Oryzias latipes: one gene and its partners. The main gene of each other region encodes a partner of the protein of the gene in region 2 in a complex. Links are inferred from orthologs where the notes say so. Each region holds a gene or a part of one and is shown on either strand. Other genes may lie near its edges.

Region 1 (4,868 bases), on a different chromosome or scaffold from region 2:
TCCAAATGACCCTTGTTGACGTAGGAGGCAAACATCAAACATATAAGGGCTCATCTGATTGATCAACAACATAAACGGGTCCTTCCGATTGGTTAAATGCATAAAGGGATTCATTTCATGTGTTCAATATTTCAAGCTGCCATGAGTTTGTTTTTGTACATTTGAGGTAACCATTTATTGCGATTTTCGCCGTCTTTTGCGGTATGCATATTGCACAGCTTAATGTTGCGATAACGATAAATTTGCGGTATATTGTGCAGGCCTACTTCAGAGGATCCTTGACACGTTTTCTTCTGTTGTCCATAAGTTGAAATATCATAACAGACTGAGAACAAATATCAGCAAAAACACCCAATGGTTTAATTTCATTTCACTTAAATTTAAGTATAAGGTGGAGACATTAAATGCAGACATCAAATAGACAGTGGAATTCATTAGAAGCCTGCTCTGAATGGATTTGATGAATTTTGACCAAATTTAGTAGAATTTTTCCTTTTATATTTTAATATCAATTTTTCCATCTTAAGAATTGCATATAATAATTTGATGACACACGCCTTTCTTGACACACAAGGTCACTGTACATAGCAGTAAAAACAAGAATAAAAATACATTTAGAAAAATAGGATAAAAAAACAATGTGAGAAAGCTGGAGAAAAAAAGAGGACCGGAGAAAACGAGAGGAGGCGTCAACTTGGAGGAGCTCAGAGGTAAACAGGGGCCAGGTTATGGAGGGATTTGAAGGTGAGGAAGAGGAGGAGTCTGAATTGAATTGGACGCCAGTGCAATTGCTGGAGGAAGGGGGGGGGGGGGGGGTGATCAAAGGTTGGAGTTCTGGAGACAATATGGGCAGTGGAATTCTGGACCAGATGCAGTTTATTACGGATTTTGTTCAGGAGACCAAAAAGGAGCAACTCAAGTGTGAATCAAGACAGAAGTGGACAGTGAGAACAAGGCGGAGACGATGAATGTTCATAACAATTATTATTATAAAGCCATCCCCACAACACGATAACGGCCCGCAGCCATTGAGCCGCATCGCCTCCACCGCTCACATGTTTATATTTACTCTGGAGATGAGTTTGGAAATTGTGTCGTAAACCCGCAGGTCAGAAGAAAATGTAGCCGTCAACAGAGTAGAAGTGAACCCAATCTCTGCACCTGGGGGGTATTCCAGAAGTCATGTTTAAACTCCCCTGACTTTAACCCTGAACTCTGGCTGAAATCCACCTGAACTTGCTTACTCTGGGTATGTCGGTTCCAAAAGTCCGGATACGAGTTAGCGTAATTACGTTCCACTTGGTAACCCTGGGTAAATGCACGTGCACGGCATGTACATAAAGACATTCTCAATGGACCGCCGATTTCTGGAGTCACCATGGAAACGCGCACTAGTGGTGCTAAATAAACTCATCCGCCTCTTCCTCCCTCTCACTCATGGTGCAGAAAGAATTAAACATAACAGGACAAAATAACTAGACAAAACACAGTAAAACAGCTAAACTAAACACATTTGGTCAAAAACCCACACTTAAACCCAAATCCGTCCAGACAGGCAAAGGGAATGGTATCCCACAATTCCTTGCGGTGCAGATCTAACAGCAGCACCAAAGTTACACCTACTTCATTGAATCAATTTGAATGAAAGTAAAATAAATGTCTGATAACTACGTGTTATTTTTAAGCTGACTGAACTCCAAAAAAGATTCATCTTAACTTAAGCAAATAATTAAGTTAGATGAAAGTATAAAGTTTCTCTTTCCAACATCCATATGTGGTCTTATCATCCTCTCATGGTGGAAAAAGTATTATCTGAGCTTCTTCATCCACTAAATCATCTTCAAATGGACACGCCATGCTGCTTCACATCTCTGAAAAACAAACTAACCTTCAACTAAACCTGCTCCTGACCAGGTTATGTTCAGAGCATGAGTTGCTATGGCAACTTGACCTACCCTGAAACATACCTCCATTTCTGGAACAGAAAGCTGAGGTTATCCACTTCCTTAGCCTCAAACTTACCGTGGGAGCTAGCATAACCTGCTTTCTGGAATACCCCCCTGGTGGTTTCAAATCATCTGAAACGATGCCTTGAAAATGTACATAACGGGTCTGCTTTTCATAATTACCCGGGACAGGACCCTCCGACCCTCTCGATTGACGCCTGGCCTCCTTCTCTAAAAGACGATCACTGACTTGATCTGCACTGATTTTCACCCTTATGAGAATGTTATTTTCGATTTCTATCATTTTAATCAGGACAAAAAGGATTCATATTTTAATAAAAATATTAATTTTTTGCTAAATTCTATATTCAGCTAAGTCCCCAACAGCAAACCCGAAGTGATACTTAGAAATAAAATGTAAACATGACATAAATTCTTCACATCTGTTAGCATCAATAAGCTCTATCATATTCAGTTATTCTATTATTTTCTTCTCTAGGAATCCATCATTTTATGTTAACATGTGTACGTTTGACTCCCTTTGTTTGCATTTGTCTACGAAATGAATAAAGTTAATTAAAAACAAATAAAGTTAAATGAAAAACAAAAACACAATATTCCTTGTTAGCCGGCTGAACTTCTCTGTTTCTTTCAGATGCTCCTCCCCTATTTGGAGATTTTGGTACGGTCGCCTTTTTAAACGATGAAGCATTTTAGTCGACAGTAGTTTTAATCTTCTATCCTTGGTAATTTGATGTTTTATACCTGTCCTATCGTAAATGCCAGCCTATTCTTACGTCTTTTCTTTGTTTTGCGTTTCTTGAGGCAAACGGACATTCAGTCTGTACTAATGACGTCATCTACTAAACACTGAACATTTCTTCCCTCCATCACCCTTTTTGCAGGCGAAGCTGCACAACAGTTAGAACCTCCAACCAATTTCTGCAGTGGAACCGGTTCCGATCCACGCGGGGGAATCTGTGGCTGATTGAAAGCGCGTGCGGCGGAGGAATAAATTAGATGCTGTGAGCGCGTGCTAGTCCTTAACTGTTTTTGCTGCTACAGCTTCGTTACTTTTTTCGTAAACTCACCTTAATCCGACAAAGCTGCCTCCACGCGCTAAATGATCCGGATATATGTGCTGTAACCGCTTCCGGGTCAACCTACTACTTCCGGTTCACCGGAAAAACCTGGATACGCGCGTCTTGTGTCTCAACAACAGGTCGTGGAGCTCCGCGAGCGCGCGTTTTACCCACTCGTTCAAGGTAAGCTCACTGGTAAAAGCGCGTGACGAACCTAATTTGTTGCTAACCAGAAGTAAAACTGCAGATCACGTGGTGTTTGTTTATTTGCTGAATGGATGTCCAGAAAGGAGGTCAAACGTCCGGAGCTCATCTCCAGGTCTTGGGTTCCTTGCAGACGGAGCAGAGCTCGTGGCTTTCCTCCGAATCAGAGATTCTGTACAGCTGGCTGTCATGACAGAAACAGGTGGTTGTCAACCAAAACCTTACACAAACTGATCCGTGTGACCCAGAGCATCCTCATTCTTTTAAGACCCTTTGACTGAACTGGAACCAGTGGAGCATCAAACTAGAACCTTTCACGTTTCGTGGTTAGGTGTGTCAGATAATCAGCAAAGTACGTCCACTTTGCTCCCTAGGGGGCGCTGTTTTGGCTGCTGGATTCAGACCTGAGGTTCAGTGGAGAAATGGTATGGTTCTTATTGCTGGGTGTAGTCACAGGGCGTCTTCAATTCCAGAATAGCCCAAACCCACAGAACCAGAGATGAGCTTAAGTTCTAGTGTCCCATAATTTATGTAAAAGAAACAGAGCTTGTTCTTTAAAATGATATTTTGGAGTAGCTTGTGACTTTGAGGTCAAACACTGTAGACTTCTGACCCCCTCTTTGTGGGAGTCTGAAGATCTGATCCAACCAGAGGTTCCTGAGTAAACCCCCACAGAGACCAGGGGGGTATTCCAGAAGTCATGTTTAAACTCCCCTGACTTTAACCCTGAACTCTGGCTGAAATCCACCTGAACTTGCTTACTCTGGGTATGTCGGTTCCAACAGACCGGATATGAGTTAGCATAATTACGCTCCACTTGGTAACCCTGGGTTAATGCACGTGCACAGCAGGTACATAAAAACATTCTCAATGGATCGCCGATTTCTGGAGTCACCATGGAAACGTGTGGAGAAAAAAAGAGAGAGAGCTGTACTTCAGTAAGACGGATTCGGACATTTAAATGACGGCGTATGAAGATTATACGTCCATCAATAAAGTAACACGGCTGCATCATCAGCAAAAGAGAGTTTCTGCTTGGAGAAAAGAACAGACAAAGTAAACGCACGAGTTTCTGATCTTATTTCTATTTTCCTTGTGACGCATATATATACAGGGCTCCAGACTAACTTTTTTCACTGGGAGCACTGTGGCCCCCAACTGAAAATTTTAGGGGCACAACCAGAAAATTTAGGGGCGCATACCGTAAATCAACATTCTAACCCAATCTACTAATTTCCACTGTATTACTAATAAATACTTTAATAATAGATGCAGAAATTACAATGTGCTGTTTCAAATTCAGTGTCACATTTTATTCTGCACTTTTGAAGATGCAACAAGAAGGTAAACTGACAGCACCATCACTGTCATGACAGTACAAATAAGTAAAGAAAACGGAGGGAAATTTATCTTTGTGACACCAAATAGGTGCAGCCAAGATGCACAATAAGCATGTTTGAGATCACCCAGGTGGACTCAACGCTGCGCAGATCACCTGGTGTGTGACATATATTTTTGTTTTTGCTCCAACATCAACTGTCAATCAAAACAAAAATATCACGAGAAAGGGGCGGGAGCAAGGCCCCAACCTGAGCGAACGCAGCTGGAAATTTAGTACTGCACTGACTGAAAGCTG
Region 2 (4,932 bases):
GTTTCACATGGTGAAAACACAAACACACGGCTCCACTTTAGGGTTCAATCACACAAGCTGGCTCCTCTTCATCATCATTCTCTCATCTCTCCATCTTCTTCTTCTTCTTCTACACCTCTGATGTACAAAACATTGTTGCACCTGAGCAGAAAACATGTTTCCATGAACGACTGCAAGGATTTCAAACGATTATTTACTTTTTGAGGGCGTTTCTTCATCAGGCGGTTTCCATACCTGACGAGCACTTCACCCAGATGACCCGCCAACGCTCCGTCCACATACTCCTCCGTGTTTGCCAGCTGTCAGACATCATACAGAAAAGTCAAAACCTCAAACCTTCTCTTCATTTTTCTACCAAATTAAAGATTTGTTAGATTTTACGTTCATTCTGTGGCGCCCTCTGCTGGATTAAACAGTAAACTACTCATAACGTTTAGTTTAAAGATCAGCTCTGATCATCTTAAGATCTAGTGTCAAAGCCTTCCCAGTGGTTCTAATTATGATTACCCAGTTTGTTGTTGTGGCGAAACTGTTGGTACAGAGCAACCCCGCCCCCCTTTCCCTCGGAGCAGGGAGCTTGTTGCCCGCCCACCATATTTTCAACGTCACAAATACGATCTTAATCAAAAGGCATTTTGTCTTCTGCTCCTGATTCATTCTTCATACGTGTTCTCCATCATGAGAAAGATGCCACAAGAATATTAAAAAAAAAAAAGATCTTATGGATTTCTTTGCTGTTTCCCAAATAACCAAATGCAAATTTTCTGTTCTTTTCTACAAATGTTAAAAGATTAACCTTTAATTCCAGCACCCAAGTTTTCATCTAAATACTTATATTTTTCTGTCATTTTTTAACTAATATTTAACCTGAGAAAATTCACTCGACAAAGAATCTACTTTGGAATTTCAGGAAATTAAACATTTTAAAAACAAGTCCAGATATAAGACTTTTTTCTGAAGAGCTTAGAAAAGCGTAAGAAAAGATGTTACTGTTATGGTGGCGTGTCACAGTTTGGTAAAAACCCATTCCATCTGAGGATTTCTGCAACAATCATGTACTTTTCCTGCCGTTTATCACTTTTTTTCTACAAACTAAACAAGTAAAATGTTTATGGTAATTTCCTCTGAGTAAAACACAACAAATGTATTTCTTTTAAAATCTCATAATAAAAGATGACAAAGTTAAACAACAACCTTCATCTAAACAACAAGAGTTTCTTAGCAAAGGTCAAATTTCATGAAATCTAAATATACAAAGAATTATGTAAAATATGGAGAAGCAACACCGGTTTGGTGTGAGAGCTTTAAGGGTCTGAAATCTCAATTTTTTAAACAGATTTCTTTTATTCTACATGTGCTGCTATCTAAACAATAGAACAAAATGGTTTGATATGTTTTGGTAAGAAAAGTTGTTCCAGATTTAGAAATGCTAGCCAACTTTCATGCAGTATCAGGCCGCTGCAGCGACTGACTTACAGACTTAATTGCTCAGTGAAGGACAAAAAAGCTAAATTTGGAACATTTTTAGTTGTGATTACTACGGATAACCCTGATCAAAAAATGAGCATCACAGATAAATACTTAAAAAAAATAAGTGTTTAGAGTTGTTTTGACTTATTTACTGTTTAAATAACAATGTGAGACAACATTTATGATTTGGTTTGAATGACTTCATTGGTTCAGAGAAATGTTTTGTTATTTGTGCCCAGAATAATCTTATTGTGAAAAACCAGAAGTGTTTTCATTTAGAAACTGTATTGAGTTTGTTTTTGACTCTTGGATGAAGCGGAAAGTTCCTGATCAATAATTGCTGAACAGGATCGTTTAGCAAACTCAAAAAAGCCTCCGTCATCTTTGCAGAGGCTGTCACTATGCGACAGGAGCCATTTGACCTTTTTTTAAACGACTTTTTTTTATTAAAATGTTATATGATAGGATAGTTAGAATTTTTGAAAAAAATTGTAAACTGGTACAAGAAAAGCTGCTAATTGGTTTTCCACCAACAGTCGTCTAAGTTAATGCTCAGAATAGAAGACTGAAAACACTGTTGGTCATTTAGAAACATGTATAATAATAACAAACTGAGTACGATAAAAACACTCTTGACTAATTTAAAATAGATTGAATAAATAATTGCATTTACTTTTGAGTAGTTTGCCTCTGTGTTGCAGCTGCATTTTAAAATCCCAGAATAAACCCTGATATAGTTGTGAATGAAGCTAGAGTTGCTTTTACCTGCATGTTCATGTATCCGTCCACAGACACCAGGTAGCCTTTGTACTCCATTCCCCACTTCAGCTTCACCATCACTGGTTTCCCTGTCAGGCCGTTCAGGAAAGGCTTTGGGTTGAGGGGCAAACTCTGCGGCAGAGGGGATTGAAACCTTACATCAAGTCTGCAAACATGACGCTTTTCCCTATGAGATATTTAGAACTTTAAGTATGCGGGTTATTCATGTTATGGACAGTCTCCACGTCTGATTTCTTTACACCACCAATCATCAACAGGAGCGACTGAAGAACCAATCTGGACTGCATTAAAAAAATAAATTGAATAATTGGGAAACAGTACATAAATTCGGTTTTGGAGCAGTTTAATTATTCAAATGACCTATATACTTCTATTAATCTGTTGTATAATGTTCGACCACACTACTACCTGCAGAGGAACGTCATAGTTTTGTGTTGTTCCGACGGACGTTCATTTTCTGATACGGCAACACGTTACCCAAAACAAACAACACTTTAGTAAAAGCTCACTTGAATATCTAACCGTTTCATTTTTAAAGTTTTGTTTTTAGTGTAAGTTTGTTTTCCCCTACGAGCTGTGTAAACCAGTTATGAATGGGATGCTAACATGGCTAGCATAAACGAGCTAACTCTCTTAAATTCTTTGTTTTAACAAACTTCAATAAACCCAAAGGCCGTGTGAAATTACATATTTGAAGAGTTACTCACCATTTTGCTCGATTAAGTTTAGACCCGATTAACAGTAAATTAGAAGTTTATTATGTCTTCGTCACAAAAACGTTTTAGCTTCACAAACTAGAAGCACGCTTTGCCGCCGACAGGAAACGGAAGTGGCATCGAGCTTTTCGCCGCGCCTCACGTCGCCCCCTGGCGTTCTGGATGTATTAGTGCAACAAAAAGACTCGGACTATATTCTGATCACATTCCAGTGCATCTGCTTTATAAAGTCATAATAAAATAATCATAAATAAAATCAGTTTACAAAATGACACAACATCATTCACACAATTAGTAAACAACAAAAAATAAACAAACTATGAAAAAAAACATAAATAAACTATTTTATAACAATGAGACAAGACCAAATGTCAAAAAATAAATAAATAAGTGAAATTAAAAATGATTTATAATCAGATAATATAAAACCCAATGGAATTATAGAATTGTTGTCATCAGCTCCAGGCTGCTGACAACATGTGCTGACGAACTCTCACATTCTGCTGTTTATTTGAAAGGCTTGCATTACCGAGCTTTAATGTAAGAAAATGATTTTAGTTTTGTAAATGTTTCATTTGAGCCTGGAGCTGGAGAAGATGCCAAAACTGTGGATGACATCTCACCATACAGGCACTCACACTCTGTATCAACGCCAGGTAGATTTCACGTTTGCTACAGAGGAATCATGGTGCGAGGCGGTTACCAAGGAGGCAATGGCTAAGTAAGTAAGCTGAGAAGTGTTTATGACATATAGATTGTTGGGAAAACAGTGCGAGAATCAATGTGTGAGTTGGTGGGTCTCATCTTCAGAAGATAGATAGATAGATAGATAGATAGATAGATAGATAGATAGATAGATAGATAGATAGATAGATAGATAGATAGATAGATAGATAGATAGATAGATAGATAGATAGATAGATAGATAGATAGATAGATAGATAGATAGATAGATAGATAGATAGATAGATAGATAGATAGATAGATAGATAGATAGATAGATAGATAGATAGATAGATAGATAGATAGATAGATAGATAGATAGATAGATAGATAGATAGATAGATAGATAGATAGGGTTGGTTTCCCTTTTGGCTTTTCCCATCAGGGGTCGCCACAGCGAACGAGTCGCATGGTAAACTTGGCAATGTTTTACGCCGGATGCCCTTCCTGACGCAACCTTCTCAAAGCAACCGGGCTTGGGACCGGCACAGAAGTAGAGAAGGGAACAGGGAGCAGCCCGGAGTCGAACCCTGGTTTCACGGACGGAAGGCGCCGCAAACCAGCACGAGCTAAACCAGCTCCCTATATATCTATATATATATATATATAAAATTTAAAAAAACGCCCCTCTCACCCTCCGTGGGTGCTTTCTCCTCCAAGCTCGGGTCCTCTACCAGAGGCCCGGGAGCTTGAGGGTCCTGCGCAGTATCTTAGCTGTTCCTAGCACTGCGCTTTTCTGTACTGAGAGGTCTGAGGTCTTTCCAGGTATCTGTTGTAACCACTCCTCCAGCTTGGGGGTTACTGCCCCAAGTGCTCCAATTACCACAGGCACCACTGTCACCTTCACTTTCCAGGCTTTCTCCAGTTCTTCTCTGAGTCCCTGGTATTTCTCCAGTTTCTCATGTTTCTTCTTCCTGATGTTCCCATCACTTGGCACTGCCACATCCACCACAACGGCTTTCCTCTGTTCTTTATCCACCACTACAATGTCTGGTTGGTTCGCCATTACCATCCTATCAGTCACGATCTGGAAGTATATATAGATATATCTATATCTATATATATATATATGCGTTGAAATGACGTGTAGAACAATTTCTCCTTTTGCCGCCAGCTTTTTCCTGAAACTGTGATGTGTTTCTGGGTAGAAAGGCAACTGACTGTCATTTCTGGGTCTCCTGCTGTCGGTCTGGACGCCTCTTCCTCCACATTTTTCTATGGGTTGAAGCTCCAACATGAGGCA
Region 3 (3,935 bases), on a different chromosome or scaffold from region 2:
TTGTTGGCGCCACCTTCTCTGATGTGGCGTGAAGCTCTCCCAGAATTTGGTACATCACAGGAGGGACGACACGACAACAGACGCTGCTCTGCAGCGGACATAGATTAAGATCAACTCTATCAGTCCCTGCAGGGAAAGGAAGTTCTAGTAGCAGCACAATCACATAAATACAAAGTAAACATACATGAAAACACATAGCAGCAGACAAATGAACCTAAAATACTCAGTTAGCACAACTGAAAGCTTGTAGAGCATCTGAGATGATGCGTTGGTCAGCACAGCTCCGACTCTGACGGCGGTCTCACAAACACTGCTCCACCTTCCACCTACATGGCGTCACTTTGACTTCTGTCAATCATGTCCCAGTAGCCAATGGGCTCGGACGTCCTGAAACACCTTTAACTGTCGTTGTGTTGCCCTCAGATGGACTACCGCTCACTGGTTCATGAGAAGGACAGAGCGCTCTTCTCTGACCTCAGGGTGATCCTCCTCGACATCCGCGGCTTCTACGTAAGACGACAAAGCTCCAGCCGCTAAATGCTTTGGATTCCAGACACTTTTGCTCACTTTTAGTTGGAGATTCTTGTAGCATAAATTGTTTGGTTTACAAAAAAAAGAAGTTACTTGGATTAAAACAAGTTCTTTTTAAATCTTCCTCCACTCAGATGTAGGATTTTAATGAAAGTATTTAAGGTTTTAACCAAAAAAAAGGTTAAATTCCTAGTTTTATATAAGAAAATGTGTTTTTAGGGGTGTTTTATAGCTAAAGTGTATTACCTTTTCATTCAAACAAGCTTCTCACTTCCTCAGGCCGAGCTGTACGACATCATCAACAAAAACCTGGAAAAGGTGACCAACCCAAAAGGAGAGGAGAAATCCTCCATGTACTGAGGCGGCAGCGGTACGCCGTTTTGGAGGAGCGCAACTTTAGATTTAGACTTCATGAACCGTGAGCTGTTATTACTGCTGTTGGATGCCAACACTTTTTAAAAACAGGAAAGAAAATTGCACTAAAGTGAACCTATGAATAATAAACTTGTAAATCAAACTGTGTTTAATCATCTGGTTTATTTATAACAAAAAGAGCTTTTCTGTCCTTGACGTGATTCATTCAAACCTTAAAGAATCAAAACTAAAAAATATTAAAAACAAAATGTCCAGTAAGAGAAATCCGCAAACTAACATCAATCCAGAACAACCAAAGATGTATGTACATTTAGAAAACTTGACATCTACACGTCTGGGCCTTCTCCACCTGGGATGAGCTGCAAAGAGAACCATTCTGATGAGAGATCCGGTCAGCGACACCCCCCCCATCCTTCCCACCGACTGCTTTCTCACCATGGTGATGTTGTTTCCATTCAGGAGGATCTGATCCAGCTTTGTTATCCTCCTGCCTTCCGGTGTGATTTCACTGGAAAAACAAAAACACATCAACAGCAAGCCCCAAGTACACAAAAAAAAAGAAAACAAGATACTTACAATTCTGTCACATCCTCCAGCACCATGTCTGACACAGAGTTAAGGAGCGGCTGTGGGCCAAACAGGGAAACAGCACAACACTGATACCAAAATATCGATGAAGGATACTGACAAAATCATCAAAACCTAACAAGGTTCCGACGATTTCTTTGTCTGTTTTCATGACGATGTGAATTCGAGAGCCGATGCATTTGTCCACAAGCTCTGAAGAAAGAAGAACAGTTATTTCAGTTTCATGCATGCAGTCTACAAACCACACTGATTTTATATTTTAACAGGTGTCTGTAACTTAACTTTTTGTTTAAAATAAAGTTTACGCAAGGCATCCAACATAAGGAAAACCATCTCTTAAGAGTAGTACATCCTAATAATATTAATGATAATGAATGACGAGGTGAAAACGTTTCCTTTTGGGCTAATTAGCAACACGGTCGCAAGGAGCGGCTAGCTGCAGCATTGCTATGCAATTCAAAAAGCGCGTCAACTACGAACCCTTTACGGCAGGACCATATTAATCGATGAATTAAATATATTACAATCAGACAAACACCCAAAGACTTAAAAAGTGTCATTCTTTAACGTAGTTTTAACAGCATGAGCGTTTCGATGCTAACGAACAATTAGCTGCTAACTCCTGCCCGCCATTGTCAGACCGTTCAAACCACGCAGCGGCCCCGGCTCTGACCCCCGCATGAACACTTCCCGGAGTTTTGCGTGAATCCCCGTCAGACCCCGGATAGAAAACGGGCTTAATTTAAAGCTTACGGACCGAGTGGGAGCAGCTGGGACGGGTTCGTGCCCTGGGTGGCTGCCATGTTTACTGACGAACACGCTTCCGCACAGGCCCGACCAATCGACAAATGAGCGCAGTCCAGCAGGCAAAAGCAATCGAACGTGGAGTATTTATTTGAACAGCAACGTTTGTTTAGGTGTAAGACAAAGGAGTTATAAAAACATTCTGGGAGGAATTCTGCTTTTGGTATTCTTCCAAAATTGCAATGCCAGTTCATTTACACGCAGAAAAATTTCTATTTGGTGTTCTTAATATCCAGATGTTGCAAGGAAAGTTTTATATACACAAAAATAAATATTTGAAGACCAAAACACTTTTTATAACATTTCATAAAGAGCTCTGTTTTTTACTTCAAATCACTTCATTATATGAAAAAGAAGAATGACTTGAAATTGCTTTGTTTTGTTCAGAAATACAAACTTCACGAGTACCCCTAACTAGTATTAGACTATTTAGATTGGATCTATGTTCTTTTATTTTATTTTTATTTTACTTATTCGTTTTTATTTATTTGTGTGTTATGTTCATTGTTTTTTTGTTTTTCTCTATTCTTTATTTTTTTGTTAATATGTTATGTTTGGCAATGGTGATTGATCTTCAAGGTAATGTTGATTACATGGTTATTGTTCGTTATTTAATGTATGATACCTCAATTGTCAATAAAGTTAAAAAAAAAGTGAAAGACAAAGAAAATGGGGTCTGAACATAATATAAAAACCCACCAATTTAAAAAAAGTTGTAACTGTTTTTTTTTTGTTTGGCCAACATGAGCAAGAGATTTAAAAGCCAACCAGAGTCCTTTTGTGTATCCTTTGATATAAGATCCAACAAAACATGTTTCCAGAATAAAACAAAACAAGAATCAATTTTGTCATGTATGAAATCACAAATCTTCTACCAAAGCACTTTAACTTGAGGACAATTCCAGAAAAGATGGATGTCTGTTTCAGGGGAATTGCAGCAAAAACTACAGATGTATCAATGTTTCATCTAATCTTTTTTGAATGAAAATTGTATCTGGGTAAATTCTGTGGATAATCCTAAAAGTAGCTTATTTTACTTAATTGGTGATCAAGCGTTTATTAGGGGTTTGCCAAACCTCCTTCCATGCAATATCATCAGCAAACATATTCCAATAAGACATGCTCTGAGGTAGAGATGCAATGTTAATTTGAAATAATGTTTCTTCTGGGATAACGGACAGACATATTTTCTCCACAGGAGTATTTATGGGAGAGAGCAGAAAAGGCTCGTCAACATGTTGAAATGTAAAAGCATGCCCAGCCTTCCACAATCTCACATCCATTTTTGTGTCAATTGTGGCAGAAAAAGCTGGAAGTTGCAGTATATATTTATATATGTATCTATTTATTTTTTATACTTTTTTGTGTGTAAAAGATAATTGTTGTTTTCTTCTTTCTCTTTGCACCAATGTGGGACAGTTTGCAATTTCGTTGTACTGTTGTACCAAGTGTGATTGTACAATGACAATAAAGCTTTATCTTATCTTATCTTATCTCAAAATCCTTCCTCTTAAAGATCAATCTTTGGAGAGCCACTGATTCACTTTCCTTTGTGTGTGTTTTTTTTCTATTATTGGGTTAAGGTTAAGAGAGCTTCTTGCATGTTGGTCTTTTGTTGTTAAAGCACCTATATATTT
Region 4 (4,848 bases), on a different chromosome or scaffold from region 2:
ATTGTTACCTGTTTACAACTTTTCACTTTTTTTATACTTTGGTTTTTAAACAAATAATTGCTTTTATCCTGTAGACAATAAAATATATTCAAAAGTCATGTGAGTTTCTTTTTCGATTTTTATGTATTTAATATTAAAAAGGCAGTTCATGCCATGTCAGGTATGTGCTTTATAGCTAACGAGAATCAAAGTGGGTTTTTCCATCCATCTATTTTCTTGACCCACTGTATCCTTTTAAGGGTGACGGGATAAAGTATGTTACGGTTTGATAAAAAAGAATGGAATTTCCACCGGTAACCTCTGATAAATATGTTTAGCATTTACTCTGGCTCAGTGTTTAGCTTTATGCCATTTGGATTACAGTCAAGCATCAGCTAAATCAGGGGTCAGCAGCCTGCGGCTCTCTGTGGTTTTTTAAAATAACGATCATGTCTAAGATTGCCGTGTCACACCTTTCACACCGTCGGGATGTGCGAGCGGGCAGAAGAAAGACAGCAGCGTGAAGACGCGGAGGGGGCGTGTCTGCGACAGACCAGAGTCTCTTATAGGATGGAAAGTTCTTCATGTTGAATGAGGTTGAATGAGAAGTGAATAAAAGCCTCATCATGCAGAACCTCTCCGGGTCGTCTGTCGACCAGCTGTTGTATTTTTGTCACCAGGTCTGAACCAGGAACGGGTCGGAACCAGGCGAGCTGCTCGTCCCTGTAGCGGTTACCCTGTGCTAACGACTACGGTCAGCAAGCAGTCAGCAAGGTTCATAAAAATAATATAAAAAAAAAAAACAAAAAAAACTAACGGGCTGAGTATTAGGTTTCTGATTAAAGTTTGGATTACACACCTGCGTCACCGCCACGACTCCCAACAATGTTCTGGGACAACAATGGAGAATTTTGAGAAAATTGAAGTTCCTCATGATGAATGAATTATTAATATGTAATGAGGAATTAGCAAACAACAAAGTCTCAAATGTGGCAAGACATTCCAGTATAAACATGCAGCTTTTGTCTAAAAACATCCAGATCCAGATGAGAAAATAAGTTGTTTGTTGACAAAAATCTATTGGAGAAGCAGATTAACTGCTAGTTAATTACAACATATTTGCTAGTTTTGTGGCCTCTCGGGGAAATGGTTCTCATCGGAACCTATTAAATAACAGAGGATGAAAAAAAAAAGAACGCAGCGCCCCCTGCTGGTTCATCACCGCGGTGATCAAAAATCCCACACCGTCACAGCTCAATTTAGACACATATTAAAGAAGCAGCCACAAAAACACATCTACTGAAACTATCATCATTCTCTGGAGCAAGGACGCGTTGAAGGGGAAAATAAAAACATAAGGCAGGAGACACCAAATTGATGAAGCAAGGCACAAAAACACAAGTAAAAAAGGTCAGTCCAACCTGTCCATAATGATTTCTGCGGAGGCAGAATGTCTTGGGGGAGGCTGTTTTTGCCGATAAAATCAACAACAACTGCAAATGAGGCCTCATTGTTTGCTATGCTGCTTTCATTTGGGACAGTTAAAAGAAAATACCTTTGGGACCTGAGAGTTCTTGGAAGTCTGTAAGATCAACGTGCCTTATAAAAAGGAAGCACGTAAGTTTTTCAGAGTTTTTAAATGTCTTAAAAAAAAGAACATGTTTGTGGACGTAAAGGATACAGAAATGTATAAAAGAAATTAATCAAGTTATGAGTGTAACAGCCATATCAGTTGAGAATCACAGATACAAACAAGATCATGTTAAAATAGAGGTATAAAATTGATCAGGAATAATCGGTTTATCTCTGTCAATTTCTCTTCTTTTTGTGCTTTACTCTATCGGAACGTCCAGTCACAAGCTTATTTCTACCAAGTCAGGTTAATTACAGTAAGCTGAAGGTCATCAATGTATCTATGAAGCGTGTTTTTGGACTGTGGGAGGAAGGGATGCACGGGGAGAACATGCAAACTCCACACAGAGAGTTCCCAGCTAGGTCTTCTCGCCGCGAGAGCGCTAACCACTGTGCCATCGTGCAGCCCTTATGTTATATGCCAAATGAATAATAAATATCTAGATTGTTTTCCATTTAGTCATTTGTCATCCTTTTAGATTAAAAGAAATTGGACTGTACCGGAAAGTTAGTTGAATATTTTATGTATCAATTCATAGACCATGTATCGAGATGCGCATCAATTCATTTGAGACGGAAAGATATACAACCCCACTCCAGAGCAGTAAATTAAATACAAGGTACCTATCTACGGCGGGCATGGTGCAGCGTTAGGGCGGTCGACCCATGATTGTAATATTGCAGGTTTGATTCCCGCCTTGCACACCCATGAGTCAAAGTGTCCTTGGGCAAGACATTGAACCCCACCTGGCCTCTGGTGGGAGGTTGGCGCCAGTGTTCGGCAGCGGAGCCGCCATCGGTGTGTGAATGTGTGTGTGACTGGGTCTGCGACTGTAAAGTGCTTTGGGCCTTGAAGAAGGTAGCTAAGCGCTATATAAGTATACGCCATTTGCCATATTTAAAAGACAGATTGATAGATAGCAAGCAAGAAAGGGCATCGTTAGTATTATATTAAACTTTGGAAATGTGTGTTGTACTCCCTGATTACTTGATTCACCTGAATTAAGTTAAAAAAACAAAAACAAAAAAAACACAATGGATCTAGGGGAAAAAAAGCTTTGCGATATCAAAGTACAGACGGAAAGACTCTCACAGACTAAGTTAAGTAGAGAATTAAACAAGCTAGAAAATAAGCAAAAGTAAAACCAAACATGTTGTGTAGTCTTTGTTGGATCTAATGGAATGCTGTATAAACATTACTTTAAGCTTTTAAAAATATAAAAAAAATAAAACGTCGTTTGTTAAAAGAGTGTCTAAACCGGACTTTAATTTGTTAATACGACGGTGAAATTCAGACAGAGACACATGATGATTCACCACACAAAAACTACTTTTATTTATAAGGATGCATCTAATAAACAGACGCAAACCGTATCACGCGCAGTTTACATGATATTATTCTTTCTCTGTAAAGAATAACTATATATTTGAGTCGATTTTCAAGTTACCCTTAAGCCTTAGCTAACAAATTTTAGCCATTTATTCAACTTTTCTTTTAAGCTCACTTACCTGACCGCCGATGGTGATGTCGAAGAAAACGATTGGATTGTTTGGGTTTGTAGGTTGAACAGACATAGTGATATTTTATACATACAACTTATTAACTTTAAATAATAGCAATGTTGAATTCACACGCCACTCATTTGAAAACCACGCACATGCGCAGTAAGAGTCTACGGTGGCTCGCCGGAGTCAGCGAAATACTTGCGCTTTTTTCCTTCAAACTTTATTGAATGAATACAAAAAGAAGGAAAGAAAGAATGAAAATCAGTGCTATGCGCTTTTTACCATGGACTGTAAAAACAATGGACACTATGAGGACAGTTCTTCTTTGTTACTTAATAATATCCAAAACCTCAGAACTATTGATGAAGAGGAAATTAGTTATTGTGGGAGCCTTCTCACGCTTGAGGAAGTAATTTGATTTTATTTGATTTATTTTTATTTCAAGCATTAACTGTAGTCAATACTTTTTTTTTAAATCACACAGATTGACAAACTAATTACAGAAATGATGAAAGACATAGATTAAAACAAAGACTCGCTTTTGTCACATTTGCTTAAATAAATATAGTATTCATTAATGTCAAATAGAGCTTCTTGATTTATTGCTTGAAAATGAGTGGGAAGAACAAAAGCATTCATAACCCCACCCTTTAAACTTAAACTAAAAGTAATGTGAATTATTTGCAATTAAGGACTGCTCAGTAGATGTTATCTGCAGTATAATGTTAAAATTAATAGGGCCAAAATTTTTCTTAAGAACCCCACTGCTATCTGGAACATTATACCATTTACAGATTTTTTTCTCTAGTTTTGGAGGCTTTAATTTTATTTTGAATTGTAACAATAATGTTGTGAAACTCCCAGTAAAACTCTCATCTTTCCATTAGCAGGTCCTCTTAGTGTGGAACCTAATTTTCAAGTATCCTTTTTCACCACACAAATATTTCATCTGGATTAACAGATTTTTTTCATTTAAAAAAAGATCACTCCACCTGGAGACCTGGACACAGAATAGGACCCTGCTGGTGGCTCGGCTATTCAATAAGGAGGGGCAGCTGCTAAACTACAATGTGTCCTTATCGCTATATAATTTTCCTGTCAGTCTACAAGAGTCCATAAACCTTGTGCTATCCTAGGCACTTTAACATTGGGAGTTGGGTCATCTAGACCCACTAGACAGTGCGCTGAACCTTTTTTCTTCAATGATTTGTGAACCTCACTGGTGTCCATGGATTACATGAAATCTTTCCACCTTTATCCATCTTTGTCATGGTAGGGAGAACACGTCAATGCAAGGGTGGGGTCATCTAAGATAGCACAAGGGTTAATGGTGCAGAATGCCCTACCATCAGGAACATTAATGCTGTTTAAAAACACTGATAAATAAGTGACATAGTATATTTTAAATTATTGTAATCAATTTGTTCCAGGTAACAACTGGAAAGTGGTGTGGAGGATCCCTCATAAACATTTAACAATAAATAAGGTGAAAGAAGTGTCTTTTTAAATTCTCCATAAAATTTACCCTGCAAAACAATACTTGACAAAATTTGAAAAAGATATTAATACTGATTGTTTCTGTGGAGATCATTCAGAAACTGTGACACATCTTTTTGGGTATTTGCCCACCCAGACGTTTTGAAAGGAGTTCAGTAGATTTATCATTCATATCTTTAAAGATTTCTCTCTGAGATGGGAAAATGCGTTACCCTGTGTTTTCACTATTTCAAA
Region 5 (2,952 bases), on a different chromosome or scaffold from region 2:
CAGCACCAGCCTCACCACGTGAACATGTTCAGCAAAGGCCTGCTGGTGGGTCTGACCCAGATCCTCCCCTGGTGCTCCGTCTCACAGTGGAGCAGGGTTCTGAAGGTCCTGAAGGAACTGATCGCCTCCAACCGGCTGAACGTCCCCTTCTCTTTGGAATACGTGGAGTTTCTGCCTCTGCTGGACCTCCGGCAGTTCTCCTGTGAGCTCCGCGTGTCCGTTCTCCTGCTCCGGGCGTTCCAGCTACTCTGTGGTTCCAGCTGCTCCCATTGGCTGCCCGCTGACGGCTGGGCCCATGCTGGCAGGCTGTACGCCCACGCAGTTAGGAACGTGTTGAGCTCTGTTAAAGTCAAGCTGCAGCTTCCTACAGCGAGCACCGCAGCCGTCTCTGAGTCAACTCCTCCAGAACCAGCACCATCCGGAGATCCAAACTCTGCTGTCAGTCCATACCAAGACTCCTGCATGAACGGCCGGGCCCCCCCAGACCCTGGAGTCTCCAAAGAGGGACATGTGGAGAGCAAAAGCCAGGAGGTCCTCTTCGTTCTCAGCCAGCTCTTCTGCCACGTTCAGCACATCCAGGTCAGAAGGATTCTCTTCCCTGCAGGTTTTGCTCTTCTGGTCGCATGAAGCTTTTCTCTGTTCCTACATTTCAACCATCGAGGTCTTGATGGTTGGAAAAATGTGAACTGAAAGTTTCATCAATTCCGGAGAAGTACAAACTCATCAAAAGGGTTTTGAGTTAGTACTTAAAGGTGATATAATGTAGCAAAAGTCTTGGACTGGACTCATTCAGAACTCTTCATTTCTTAGCTTTCAGTTTTTGGTGTGTGTGTGTGTGTGTGGTGTTGGTGTGTGTAGGGGGGTGGGGGGTCTTTGGTGGTCTCACAGGTTCCTCGGGCTCTGATGGGCCACAGAATGATCCTCCTGCTGCTGCAACACAGCCCCAAACCATGACACCTCCCCCTCTATTTGTTAGTATGGGGGTGGGGGGCAGACCTGAGCTGGTTCTCAAACGTTTAAGACACCCCCCCCCCCGCCCTTGTAAACCGGAATTCAAAGTCCTTTTAAATCCTTTAGACTCTTAAGCTGCTCCATATTTTTCTGAAGTATGATTGTGTGAAAGTAAAAAAACAAGAAGACATGAATTGTTTAGAGTTCAGACCAAAACGCTTGTTAGACACGCACTTCTGGAGGAATTTACCAGTTGGTGCCACACCTGGTTAAACGTCCATAAACGTAGAATTGCTGGATGACTTTAAAAAAACAAATTTCTTAAAGTTTCATGGCTTTTTCTTTTTTATTCAGTTGACTTTCATATTTGTCCATCAGACAAATGCCACAAGAGAGAATGTAAAATTTTCATTGGAGGGGGACTATAAAGCCTGAACTTCTGAGAAGGTGTTAAGTCTTTCCAGAGCTGCAGGTCTGTTTGCAGCAAAGATCTCCTCCATGTGTGAGGATGTGTGGAGCTGCAAGGAAAAAAGGAATTCAACTTTAGTGAAGCCAAAACTTAAAAAAATAGTCCTGGAATTTCTGTCAATATTTTTCTGGTAGAAGTCTTAAATTTTTCTTCTGTTGATGAACAAAACATGGGCTTTAAAGTGGACCATCTCAGAGGACTTGAGGCGTTTACTGCTCAGCTTACAGAAGATTTCTGTTTTCCCATTTGAAACCTCCGTTTACAGATGTTTTCCTTCCAGGTGATGATGCCTGGAGGTCAGAGTGAACCTCTGTTCCTGTGCAGTCTGGAGATCCTCAGCTCCTACGAGGCCATCATGGCCGCCTTCCCCGACAGCTGCAGCCCGCTGGAGAGCGACAACACGCGTCACTTCTTCTCCACCATCACGGACAACCTGCTCAACCAGGAGATGAAAGCGGTCCTGCAGCAGAAGATTGCTCAGCTGGTGTCATCAGCAGCGTGACGCTCCAATGGACGCTATGCAGAAAGAAAACACGCTGACGCACCTGCACAGGTGCAACAAGCTGTCCTTGAATCTGCTTATAGTAAGCCTTCCCCAACAAAACAAATGTCAGAATGAAAAGCAAGAACAATGAAGTCAGGACAGTTTTTGGTTTTCTCATGTCATTCAGGTTTGTTCTTTTGTAAATAAAGTTCTAATATCTACAAGAACAGTTTTATTTGCTTCTAAAAGAAAAATCAAAAGATCAGGTTCAAATTCCAGCTCAGCATGTAACCTGCTAATCTGTCCTTTAGTGGGACTCTTCAGTCCGTCCTCAGCCGGGCCTTGTCTGGCGCCGTCCTCCCTCTCAGGTAGAGTCTGTTGGCTTTCCTCAAAAGCAGGAGAAACCAGTAGATCTGTGGAGCCAGAATCAGCAGGTTTCCCAGGTTGCAGTGCAGAGGCATGTGAAAGGCCACGGCGGAGAGAGGAACCCCCAGCTGCCGGCTGTACTTCCAGTACATGAAGGGGAACAGCAGGATCCGGCACACAAAGAAGGTCAGGAGGACCATGAGGCCGTTGATTCTGTGCAGCATGGAGTCGTCGAGGCGCAGCTGGAGAGCAGAGTCAGCTGTCAGAAACTTTGCAACACATTTTCAGAAGGTAGAAGGTCAAAACCTGGCAAAAGATCTCAGGTTGGTGGTATATCACATGACAAGAAAACATAAGAAATATCCACTTTATTAGCCTTATAGTGGAGCAAAAACATTACCAGTCATTGATTCTTTAAAATGAGTTTTGTCTGTGATGTTCATCATAGAAACACTTTAACAGTGAGACAGAAAGTAAAAAAATAATCTAGGAAATCACATTTAGATTTTTTATAGAATGTATTTGTATAATGGAGCAGAAAATATGTACCAAAAAGTTAACCTCAATACTTAAGAATGTAGTCCTGGTTTTAATGACAGAGGTCAAAGGTTTCCTGTAGGTCTTCAGCAGCTTTGAACACACTATAGCTGCCATGTTGGTCCATTCTTCCAAGCAGATCTTC
Region 6 (4,676 bases), on a different chromosome or scaffold from region 2:
TGTGTAGAGGATGGGGGAGTCAACCAATCAGAGTGCAGGACTCAGAGGACTTGGTAAAGTTAGAAAGATCTTCACAGATTCGGACTTCCTGCTGAGAAATTCCATGTTTAATATATTTTATATAGTTTTTCACATTTTAAGAGACATGATTCATAATAAAGGTGCTCAATAGTTCTAAAGATACTAAAGCTAATGTCAGCAAACTTTCTGTACTGACTAATCATGACCCTATTGTCCCCCCCGTTCCGTTTTCGTACACAGATCAATTTTGACACAAGTTTCTCACAAGGAATGTGTCAGAAGTCAGAGCGCAGTTGTTGTGCACTTGTGATGTGCGCCAGCAGATTCACATTTGAGCAGTTGTAATCCCAGATTGGAGGTTGTAACTCTAAATGGGAATTTGTCAGTTCTGATTTAGTTTGTCAGACTTTACAGCAGAAGATTTTTACACACAGATGCAGATTTTTGGTGTGCAAGTTCTCACATTGTAAATTACAAGTTCTCACACCAAATCTACAAGCTCGTCTATTTAGACACATTTTTACCTTCATACTAATAACTCACTGGCATTTGAAATCTTGGGGTGCTCAGGTGGATTTGCTCACATACGTAATCTATTCTTTTAAAAACCAAAAAGATCAGAAAATTACAATGCAAGAACTATTGAAATAAAACATCTTGCAATCTCCCTTCTTCATTGCTTAAGCTTTGTAAGAAAATTTGATTTTATTACACAAGTGACTACATATAGAAATCTTGCTGTTGACATCTAACCCTTAAAACAGGTTTAGTATTTAAGAAGTGGCTTTTTATTCAACTCATACTTGATAAAAAAACAAAACAATGCTTCAGAGAATGAAATCATTCAAACCCCACACCCACATCAGGCACAGTACCCAATGTGGAGGAGATGCTATGGACGCCTTTTTAATCTCTTACATTTGTGAGCTTATATTTAGTGTTTTACTTGTATTTGAATTCTTCTGAATGTATTTTATTCTTGATTCTATTAAAGGAATATGTCAAAGAGAGGAGGGAATAATTGAAACATTTTAGAATAAAACCACTGTAAGGCGCCATGTTATTTCAAATCCTGGAAAGAAGAAGAAAAAAAGACTGCAAAAATATGCTTTAGTGAAGCAACACTTTCTAAATCAAGATGCAAGCTCTTCGTGTTTGTTTCCTCTTCATATAAAAGTCCTAAATACACACTTAAACCTCTCTCCGCTACACCAGCAGCCCCCCAATACCTGTCGAATGCTTTGACTCTTCCAAGCAGCTTCTTGTTGTTGCGACAGTTAATGAGGACTTGGGTGTTGTTCTTGACTGACTGGGTGAGCACCGACAGAGGGCCAGTGTTGAACTCCTCCTCTTCTCTTTTCTGGAGCTCTTCAGGCGTCATCTCTGACTTAGGTTTCGTTAGAAGACTCCTGTGGATTAAACAAGTTCTGAATTAGTGATAACAGCAAACAAAATAAGCAACGATGTACTGTTTAAGCATCGACTGCTTGGGCGGCCTATTATTTGGATTTGGGCCTTTTTATTATTATTCTTTTAAATTAAAAAATAAATATAAAGACACAAACGCAACACTTTCGTATTTAATGCACACACAAGCATTAGTTACTGTTAATGCGAATCCAAGAGTTGGCTTCATCTGTGTGCCTCAACAAAATGATCATTTTCTTATAAAGTCAAGTTAGCACAAAAATGTACAATATAGGCAAGACATCTGAAAAGTGGAACCAGCTAAAAAAAGTCTCAGTTCCTGCAAAAGAGCATTTATGAGAGCTGAAGCTGTTGACTGAAAGTGCTCAGTTAATAGAGACATTTGAGAGGCAGAAGGTGCTTAAGCAGGAAAATGGACCACAACCAAATATCTAAATAAAACTAAACATGCAAAACTAGTATTAACCAGAAAACCATTGTACAGGAGACATTACATCAGACGGAATCAAAACTATTGAGGAATTATCTCACACACACAATAAATGCTTTGGTCATTGATAAATTGAATCAGTACATTTTAGTCTCGATATTTCTTTATATTTGTACAATGATCACTACAAATAGGCAGAAGTAAAACCTACTTTAAAAAAAATGGCTGCTCTGGATGATAGAGAAACAATTTACCTAAATAAAGGTCAACAAATACTAGACTTTATAAAAGGATCAAGTTTTAAAACATTAAAGCCTCCCGCCACCCTTAAATGAGCACAGAACATTTATTGTTTCCAGATACATTTGAAGTTTTCAACAATCTCTGAACAGTGTGTGCTTTGAGATCAGCAAAGAGTTTAGGCTCTTTACGCACAAAATATTTAGAACAAAACTTTGGCTTTCACACAAAATGAGTCTATAACCGACGACTTTGATCATATCATCTTGCAGAAGCTTAAACATTTCTACTTTCTAAAGAATGAATGCTGCAATCGCACAACGAGGACATTTACTCATGATGGATAGAGCAAGCTAACAGTCTCATTAGCAATTAGCTAATGAGGCTTAGTACGTCCATCAAGCTTTCGCGCGATGTACAATCACAGAATTTAGCTTTGGACGTAACTTTTTAAACAATTTAATTTGAGAATGCAGTAATTGCAATGTAATCCAATTTAACACATTTCTAAAAACCACCCACTAGGCCACACAAAGCGATCTAGCACCAACTCGAAGGAAAATGCTGCTAGCTTAATAGTGCGATCTCCATATTAGCAGCTAAACGTAAAAAGTAACATTGCCCTCAACATCGAGACACAATAGAAGATACTAACATGATTCCTGGTTTATAAAAACCGTTTAGTAAAGTTCCAAAGCCTCTTTCGTGCGTCGGTCGTGTCTACAACGTTTTAGCCGACAGTCGCGTGCACAGAATCACTTCCGGTGATATTAACGCGCTTAAATAGAATAACTTCCGGGTTACGACGCAAACCAAAAATTCGAAAAATATTCTATTCTTTTTGGCAACAATAGAAAAAAAATCAAACAACGGTCATCAGCTAAAATATTCTATTCTAATCTTGCATCCATCTCTAGTAATTTCGTTACTGAAGCCGAAGTTAAAACTGTTATGAATGCCCCAGCATTCATGCAGCAATTTAACAAACGACATTATAGAACATGTTTAAATAAATACACGAAAAAGATTAATTAAATACAATTTGATACATTTAAATTCAGCATTGCTTTTATCCAGTTATTTTGCATTTGCAGGATATCAAAGTCCAGGTTGACAGTATCAAGAAATAATATAAAATAAAAGAGACGTTGCTTAGTCTGTGACCTTTGCCTGGTAAACAACAACAACATTATTAACAACAACAACAATTAAAATATTGGAAATAACAACAACAACAATAATAGTAATAATATTAATAACAACAAAAACAATAATAATAATAATAACCTTTCCTTTTTTTCATATGTGCCACGTTCCAAATCACAGATTGCCTTATCTATTATTGTAGGTGCTAAACAAATGATGCAGCATTGTTCATTTGTATTTTTAGCAGTATTTTTAAACTCATTTATTTGAAAAATATAATTCAATATCAAGAAACTATAAACATGGCCTTTTGTAACTGCATTTTGCAAATCAAACAATACAAAAAAACTTTAATAGTAAAAGTTTTAGGCTCCAGGTTTATTGCTGTCATGTCTTGCATACATGGGCAGCCGTGGTAGGGTGGTCACCCTCTGATCGTTAGATTGCAGGTTCGATACCCGCCCTACCGTTGAAGTGTCCTTGGGAAAGACGCTGAACTGAACACCACCTTGCTTCTGGTGGAAGGTTGGTGCCAGTGTTCAGCAACCAGGAAACCAGTATGTGAATCTGTGTATGAATAGGTGACTGATTTTGGCCTTCAAGGAAGGTAGAAAGCGCAGTACAATTATACGCCATTTACCATTTATAATACAATTATAAAAAGTTATAAGATGCATTATAGTGTCATTTAGAAACTCTCACAACTGAGTTCTATGAGATCTACAGCAGGTGTATTTATCTAATGTTAGTCTAATATAAGTTTTGTTTTGAAGAGATGTCTTAAAGAGTCTGAGCCGTTGACAAAAATGTTGTAGCACTTCTTTCAGATGGTAAAATCCACAATTCCTTTTTGGCCAACATCCAAAGGAGATCTTGTGACTTATGAAATAAGGAAACCAATTCCAAACACAAACAATCCCTTTGGGCTTTTTTTCAAGTTTGTTGAGTAAACCGTTAAAACTACAAATAGTTGTAGGACCACAACTCAAGTTTTTTAGTAGACTTTTTCTAACAACTAAAATGTTGATTAAAGGATTCTGATAACATATTAATCTATTTATTGCTTATCTTTTCCCCTCATTGCATAATGTCAATAAAAGAGTAAAAAATAAAAAATAATAAAAACTGAAAGCTTCTTCATAGGACAGAAGATTTGAAGGAGATGCCTCAACAAGGATGGAAAAATAACAGCTACATTTTTGTTTAACTCTTTAAGAAAATGAAATTTGTGTCTGTAAGATAAAAAGAGAAATAGAGGCTGCATGCCTCGCAACAGTGGAGTCACTAAGAGATCTGCTTTCTGGTAAGAGACAGGCAGACGCCTATATGTGCACAATCTAACTACCTTACACCAAAGGTTAAAGCCCTACCTGTGGAAACCTCTTGCTCTAAATAATGGTCGTCTGTGTGC
Region 7 (3,830 bases), on a different chromosome or scaffold from region 2:
GTCTCCACTTTGGAGAAACCTTCTCAACAAGCGGGGGTCTGAGGCCCTTCCATGTTCAAGCCGGCCTCCATGTCTGTGTCCACATGCTCCACCAGCTGCTAGAGCCGAAGGACGTCCCAGAGACATCTTCCATGGTCCAGCCACGCTGAAGAACAGAGTCCTGCGAGGGGGCGGAGTCAAAGCAGGAGAAATGTCTGAGTTTGACTCCACCTGTAGCCTCCATCAGCTGCTGAAGTCACGCTTCCATGCTGTTCTAGCACCACCTAGTGGCCAAGCGTGGTAACAATCACTACCACCAAAAGTTTCCTCAAAACATTTGAACTGAACTTTTGTAATTTACCAAACATTTGGAGTTTCTTTTTTTTTACTTTGTGTAACCCTTGTGCTATCTTAGATGACCCCCCCCCCCTTCCATTGAGGTGTTCTCCCTACCATGACAAAGGTGGATAAAGGTGGAAAGATTTCATGTAATCCATGGACACCAGTGAAGATCACAAATCATTGAAGAAAAAAGGTTCATAGCACTGTCTAGTGGGTCTAGATGACCCAACTCCCAATGTTAGAGTGCCTAGGATAGAACAAGGGGTAAGAATTAGTATAATAATCAAAAATAGTTTAAATAATTAGTTTATAGTTTAACTGTTCCTCAGTTCTGAGCTCAGATCCTGAACTTTATGAGGTTTAACCACTTTTATAAATGCTATTAGTAAAAATGTAACTGTTTTCACAAACTAAAGGAAAAACTACTTTAAAATGACCAAAATGATTTTAGAGGAGCTCTGATTCAGGTGACTTTCATGTGTCCTTTATTAACCAAAACTGTACAGGTGCAGAGGTTCAGCAGCAGACGTGTTCATGTGATGAAGCGCCGATAGGCGTTCAGAATGGAGGGACTCCTCCCGTGTTTCTGCAGCAGGTCTTCGGCTTTCTGTCGCAGCGACGGACACACGGCGCCCGCAGATCGGCCGAGGTGCAAAAGCACGAGGGAACACTCCAGGACGTCTGGATGAGGAAACATCTGAGGGACGAAGAGGACGCAGTTACAGCTCCAGATCAAACACAGAACCCATGAGAGCGTGTCCAGATGGAGGAGTGGAGGCCGACCTTCAGGGTGTCGGGCAGGTCGACCAGCTGCTGCTGGTATTTGGACATCTTGGAGGACAGAGACAGAAGAGTCTCCTGATCTTCACAGCTGGAACAAAAACTTCTAGTTAACTGAATGAAGCACAAACTAGAAGAAAAAGTCCATGGCAGACGCTGCTGGACCTGACGGAAACATGACCAGGGTTAAGGTATTTCATTTATTTTACAACATAAACCAGATCAAAGTGATGTTTTTTTTAATATTTAAATGATTCAAATGATCCAACTTCCTGAACTCAAATTTCACACCATCATCGTGAAAAAAACGTGCACTTCCTGGCCTGGTCGTTGTGAGCGATGTTTGCATCAGAATCTGACCTGTGCTCTGCAGAGTTCTGGTTCCCCACAGGGAGCGGGTCTTCCTGCGCTCGGCTGTGCTGCGCCACCATGGCCGCCAGCCGCTCCCGGATCTCCTGCACCGACCTCTGCAGGCTCTGACAGGCGGCGTGCGGCTCGGACAGCAGCACTTCAAAGTCCTCCTGGCCTTCGCCCGCTGCTCCCTTTTGGACCTCCACCTGCTCCGCGGCGCTCCTCCACCAGCACTCGTACAGGCGGTGATAGCGGACCAAGGCCTGCAGGCTGCTGAGCGCAGCGCTCGCCTCAGCCTCGGTCCCCTTCAGGGTCTTTGGACGTTTCCTGGAGAACAGACCAACATCACCTAGACGACAGAAAACAGGAATGTTGTTTTAAATCCATTTTTAGAAACACAGAAATAAAATCCAAACTGAGCTCGTCTCAACGGTTCTGTGAAACGCTTCATCAGTTTTTCACGTGTTTCTTCTGTTTGTGTTCTACTTTTTTGATCTCGTACAGAAACGGCTTCAGAGAAAATGCGATTTGTTGTTTTGAGACGTTATGGGGTCAGAAGTCTGAAGCGGAGTCTGAACACGTGTGACGGCTTCAGAGGGAGGCGTGTTGGACCTTCGGGGAACAGCCGCCTGCACAGCTCTGCGGAGGCGCAGAAGAGTCCGGCGTCTCTGATCCAGGCCGCCGCCCACCACAGCTCCTTCAGCAGCTGCGCGTCGTCGTTCAGGATCCAGCTCAGCACGCCGCGGGTCAGATGGAGCGAGGCCTGCAGCAGGACCTGAGGAGAAAGCACAGACAGTTTCCTGCGTTGGACTGATGACGTTGTGCCGCCGTGGCCGTTTGGAGGTCAGTACCTGTTTCAGGGGGGCGGTGGGGGCCGGACTCTCCACGGACCTCAGCTCCTGCAGGAGAGCCTCCATGCTGCCGTCTTCTGGTGCGTTTGCAGAAATGCCAAACTCCTCCTCCCACACGTCTCTGACTCGGTCCTGGATGCTGGCGGGATGTTTTCTTGGCTCCGCCCATGTGTGGGTGGAGCTGCAGGAGGCTGCAGGGATGACCCCGGCGTCACGCAGCTCCACAGTCAGCAGCTCCGCCACGCAGAGATGCAGCCTGTGGACCTGCAGAAGGTGAAACATCTCGGTGAGAGGCTTCCTGTTCCTTTCCAGGGGGGATCAGGAGAGTGTGAGCTGCTGACCAGAAGGTCGTCCTGACCGCTCAGGACCTCCTGCGCCGTCAGCCAATCCTGAGCAGCCGCCAGATCTTTGGCGCATCGCAGCGCCAGCGTCTGAGCCAGAGCCCCCTCCCCTGAGATCCTGGCCACGCCGGCTGCCGTCCTCAAAGACGCGACGTCATTCTTCTTGGCGATGACTTTGGCGGCGTCGAAACCGGAGCCGGCGGCGAGGTGACTGAAAGAAGCAGGTCAGACGGATCAGGCGGAGGAAGAGCGCTGGTCTGTGAGGCCGGACTCTTCCCTTCAGACCATTTAGCTGCTGCGGACAGATGGCCGTCCTTCTCCAACACCGCAGCCCAGCCGCCGTACAGCTCCTTCAGGACCGGCTCGTCCGGCGCCAGCCGCGCTTTCGCCAGAGCGATGGCCTCCCTGACGAACGACAAGCTCTGGTTGATGGAGCTGCTCCACAAACTCCTTCAGTCAAACGGCCGAGCGGCTCAGACCTGAAGAGCTTGTGTGATCGCAGCAGGTCCACGGCCTCGTAGACTCTGTTGATGGACAGCAGGTGGGACGCCGCCTTCAGGTACTGCTCCTGCAGACACAGCTGCCTGACGTAGGCCTCCACCGCGCGGCTCCAGGCCTCAAAACCAGCTGGAGGAGGTGAAGAACCAACACATCATGAGGTCACTTCCTGTCCCCTCGTCAGCTTTTATCGATGCAATAAAAATCTAGAGAATTTCCTGTGAGAAATGTTTTTTAGTGCTCTTAGACCAGCAGCAGCCAAAACCTTCTCTTTTTTTGCATCAAACTGGCTTCCTGACGTCTGCACAGACACTTCAACCGGCATCTTCCCGCTCTTTACCCATCGCAGCGACGGACAGCAGGTGGTCGTTCAGCTCTCCTTTCTCCGTTGCCAGCTGCAGCGCCCCCTGCAGGTCTCCGCTCCACAGCCGCAGGTACACCACCGAGTCGAAGTGCCCCGCCTGCACGTGACCTTCCTCTGAGGGTCGACAGGAAGTTGAACGTTACGCTGAAACGCCCAAAGCCAGGAAGGGAGAACCAACAAACCTTCTGCCTCCAGCATGAGGCGCAGAGCCCGCCGGTCTGCAAACAGGCCCAGGTGGACATGGTCGCCATGTCCCGGGCTGCAGCCAGCAGGTGGCGCTGAAAACACACAATCAGCCCTGCTTTGTGAAAAAAGGGTCGAACT

Evidence for each region.
Region 1: snrpf (region 2) and prpf4 share a complex: the UniProt entries of both Homo sapiens proteins name them as parts of the U4/U6-U5 tri-snRNP complex. The link is inferred for Oryzias latipes from reciprocal best matches to the Homo sapiens genes SNRPF and PRPF4.
Region 3: snrpf (region 2) and lsm5 share a complex: the UniProt entries of both Homo sapiens proteins name them as parts of the U4/U6-U5 tri-snRNP complex. The link is inferred for Oryzias latipes from reciprocal best matches to the Homo sapiens genes SNRPF and LSM5.
Region 4: snrpf (region 2) and ppih share a complex: the UniProt entries of both Homo sapiens proteins name them as parts of the U4/U6-U5 tri-snRNP complex. The link is inferred for Oryzias latipes from reciprocal best matches to the Homo sapiens genes SNRPF and PPIH.
Region 5: snrpf (region 2) and gemin4 share a complex: the UniProt entries of both Homo sapiens proteins name them as parts of the SMN-Sm complex. The link is inferred for Oryzias latipes from reciprocal best matches to the Homo sapiens genes SNRPF and GEMIN4.
Region 6: snrpf (region 2) and snrpd2 share a complex: the UniProt entries of both Homo sapiens proteins name them as parts of the SMN-Sm complex. The link is inferred for Oryzias latipes from reciprocal best matches to the Homo sapiens genes SNRPF and SNRPD2.
Region 7: snrpf (region 2) and gemin5 share a complex: the UniProt entries of both Homo sapiens proteins name them as parts of the SMN-Sm complex. The link is inferred for Oryzias latipes from reciprocal best matches to the Homo sapiens genes SNRPF and GEMIN5.

Annotation. Positions count from the first base shown.
Region 1 is NC_019870.2:3,657-8,524, reverse strand, and holds the start of prpf4 (U4/U6 small nuclear ribonucleoprotein Prp4), read right to left. Parts: upstream 3,131-4,868; 5' UTR 3,038-3,130; intron 1-3,037. UniProt on the Homo sapiens protein: Plays a role in pre-mRNA splicing as component of the U4/U6-U5 tri-snRNP complex that is involved in spliceosome assembly, and as component of the precatalytic spliceosome (spliceosome B complex).
Region 2 is NC_019881.2:20,375,030-20,379,961, forward strand, and holds the start of snrpf (small nuclear ribonucleoprotein F), read right to left. Parts: upstream 3,096-4,932; 5' UTR 2,961-3,095; coding exon 2,958-2,960; intron 2,362-2,957; coding exon 2,236-2,361; intron 300-2,235; coding exon 235-299; intron 142-234; coding exon 75-141; 3' UTR 1-74. UniProt on the Homo sapiens protein: Plays a role in pre-mRNA splicing as a core component of the spliceosomal U1, U2, U4 and U5 small nuclear ribonucleoproteins (snRNPs), the building blocks of the spliceosome.
Region 3 is NC_019878.2:23,646,590-23,650,524, forward strand, and holds lsm5 (U6 snRNA-associated Sm-like protein LSm5), read right to left. Parts: upstream 2,371-3,935; 5' UTR 2,298-2,370; coding exon 2,252-2,297; intron 2,191-2,251; exon of another isoform or gene 2,176-2,190; coding exon of another isoform or gene 2,136-2,175; intron 1,687-2,135; coding exon 1,591-1,686; intron 1,511-1,590; coding exon 1,483-1,510; intron 1,415-1,482; coding exon 1,342-1,414; intron 1,266-1,341; coding exon 1,233-1,265; 3' UTR 1,050-1,232; downstream 1-1,049. Other genes in the region: psme2 (proteasome activator complex subunit 2), read left to right, coding at 424-510, 811-891. UniProt on the Homo sapiens protein: Plays a role in pre-mRNA splicing as component of the U4/U6-U5 tri-snRNP complex that is involved in spliceosome assembly, and as component of the precatalytic spliceosome (spliceosome B complex).
Region 4 is NC_019865.2:7,775,961-7,780,808, reverse strand, and holds the start of ppih (peptidyl-prolyl cis-trans isomerase H), read right to left. Parts: upstream 3,296-4,848; 5' UTR 3,187-3,295; coding exon 3,121-3,186; intron 99-3,120; exon of another isoform or gene 1-98. UniProt on the Homo sapiens protein: PPIase that catalyzes the cis-trans isomerization of proline imidic peptide bonds in oligopeptides and may therefore assist protein folding. Participates in pre-mRNA splicing.
Region 5 is NC_019871.2:19,893,329-19,896,280, forward strand, and holds the end of gemin4 (gem-associated protein 4), read left to right. Parts: coding exon 1-579; intron 580-1,272; exon of another isoform or gene 1,273-1,700; coding exon 1,701-1,922; 3' UTR 1,923-2,128; downstream 2,129-2,952. Other genes in the region: protein FAM57A, read right to left, coding at 2,225-2,512. UniProt on the Homo sapiens protein: The SMN complex catalyzes the assembly of small nuclear ribonucleoproteins (snRNPs), the building blocks of the spliceosome, and thereby plays an important role in the splicing of cellular pre-mRNAs.
Region 6 is NC_019871.2:25,537,746-25,542,421, forward strand, and holds the start of snrpd2 (small nuclear ribonucleoprotein Sm D2), read right to left. Parts: upstream 2,906-4,676; 5' UTR 2,777-2,905; coding exon 2,775-2,776; intron 1,431-2,774; coding exon 1,251-1,430; intron 1-1,250. UniProt on the Homo sapiens protein: Plays a role in pre-mRNA splicing as a core component of the spliceosomal U1, U2, U4 and U5 small nuclear ribonucleoproteins (snRNPs), the building blocks of the spliceosome.
Region 7 is NC_019872.2:29,388,973-29,392,802, forward strand, and holds the end of gemin5 (gem-associated protein 5), read right to left. Parts: intron 3,785-3,830; coding exon 3,689-3,784; intron 3,621-3,688; coding exon 3,483-3,620; intron 3,272-3,482; coding exon 3,124-3,271; intron 3,050-3,123; coding exon 2,930-3,049; intron 2,856-2,929; coding exon 2,645-2,855; intron 2,568-2,644; coding exon 2,304-2,567; intron 2,228-2,303; coding exon 2,065-2,227; intron 1,802-2,064; coding exon 1,462-1,801; intron 1,193-1,461; coding exon 1,105-1,192; intron 1,019-1,104; coding exon 854-1,018; 3' UTR 784-853; downstream 1-783. UniProt on the Homo sapiens protein: The SMN complex catalyzes the assembly of small nuclear ribonucleoproteins (snRNPs), the building blocks of the spliceosome, and thereby plays an important role in the splicing of cellular pre-mRNAs.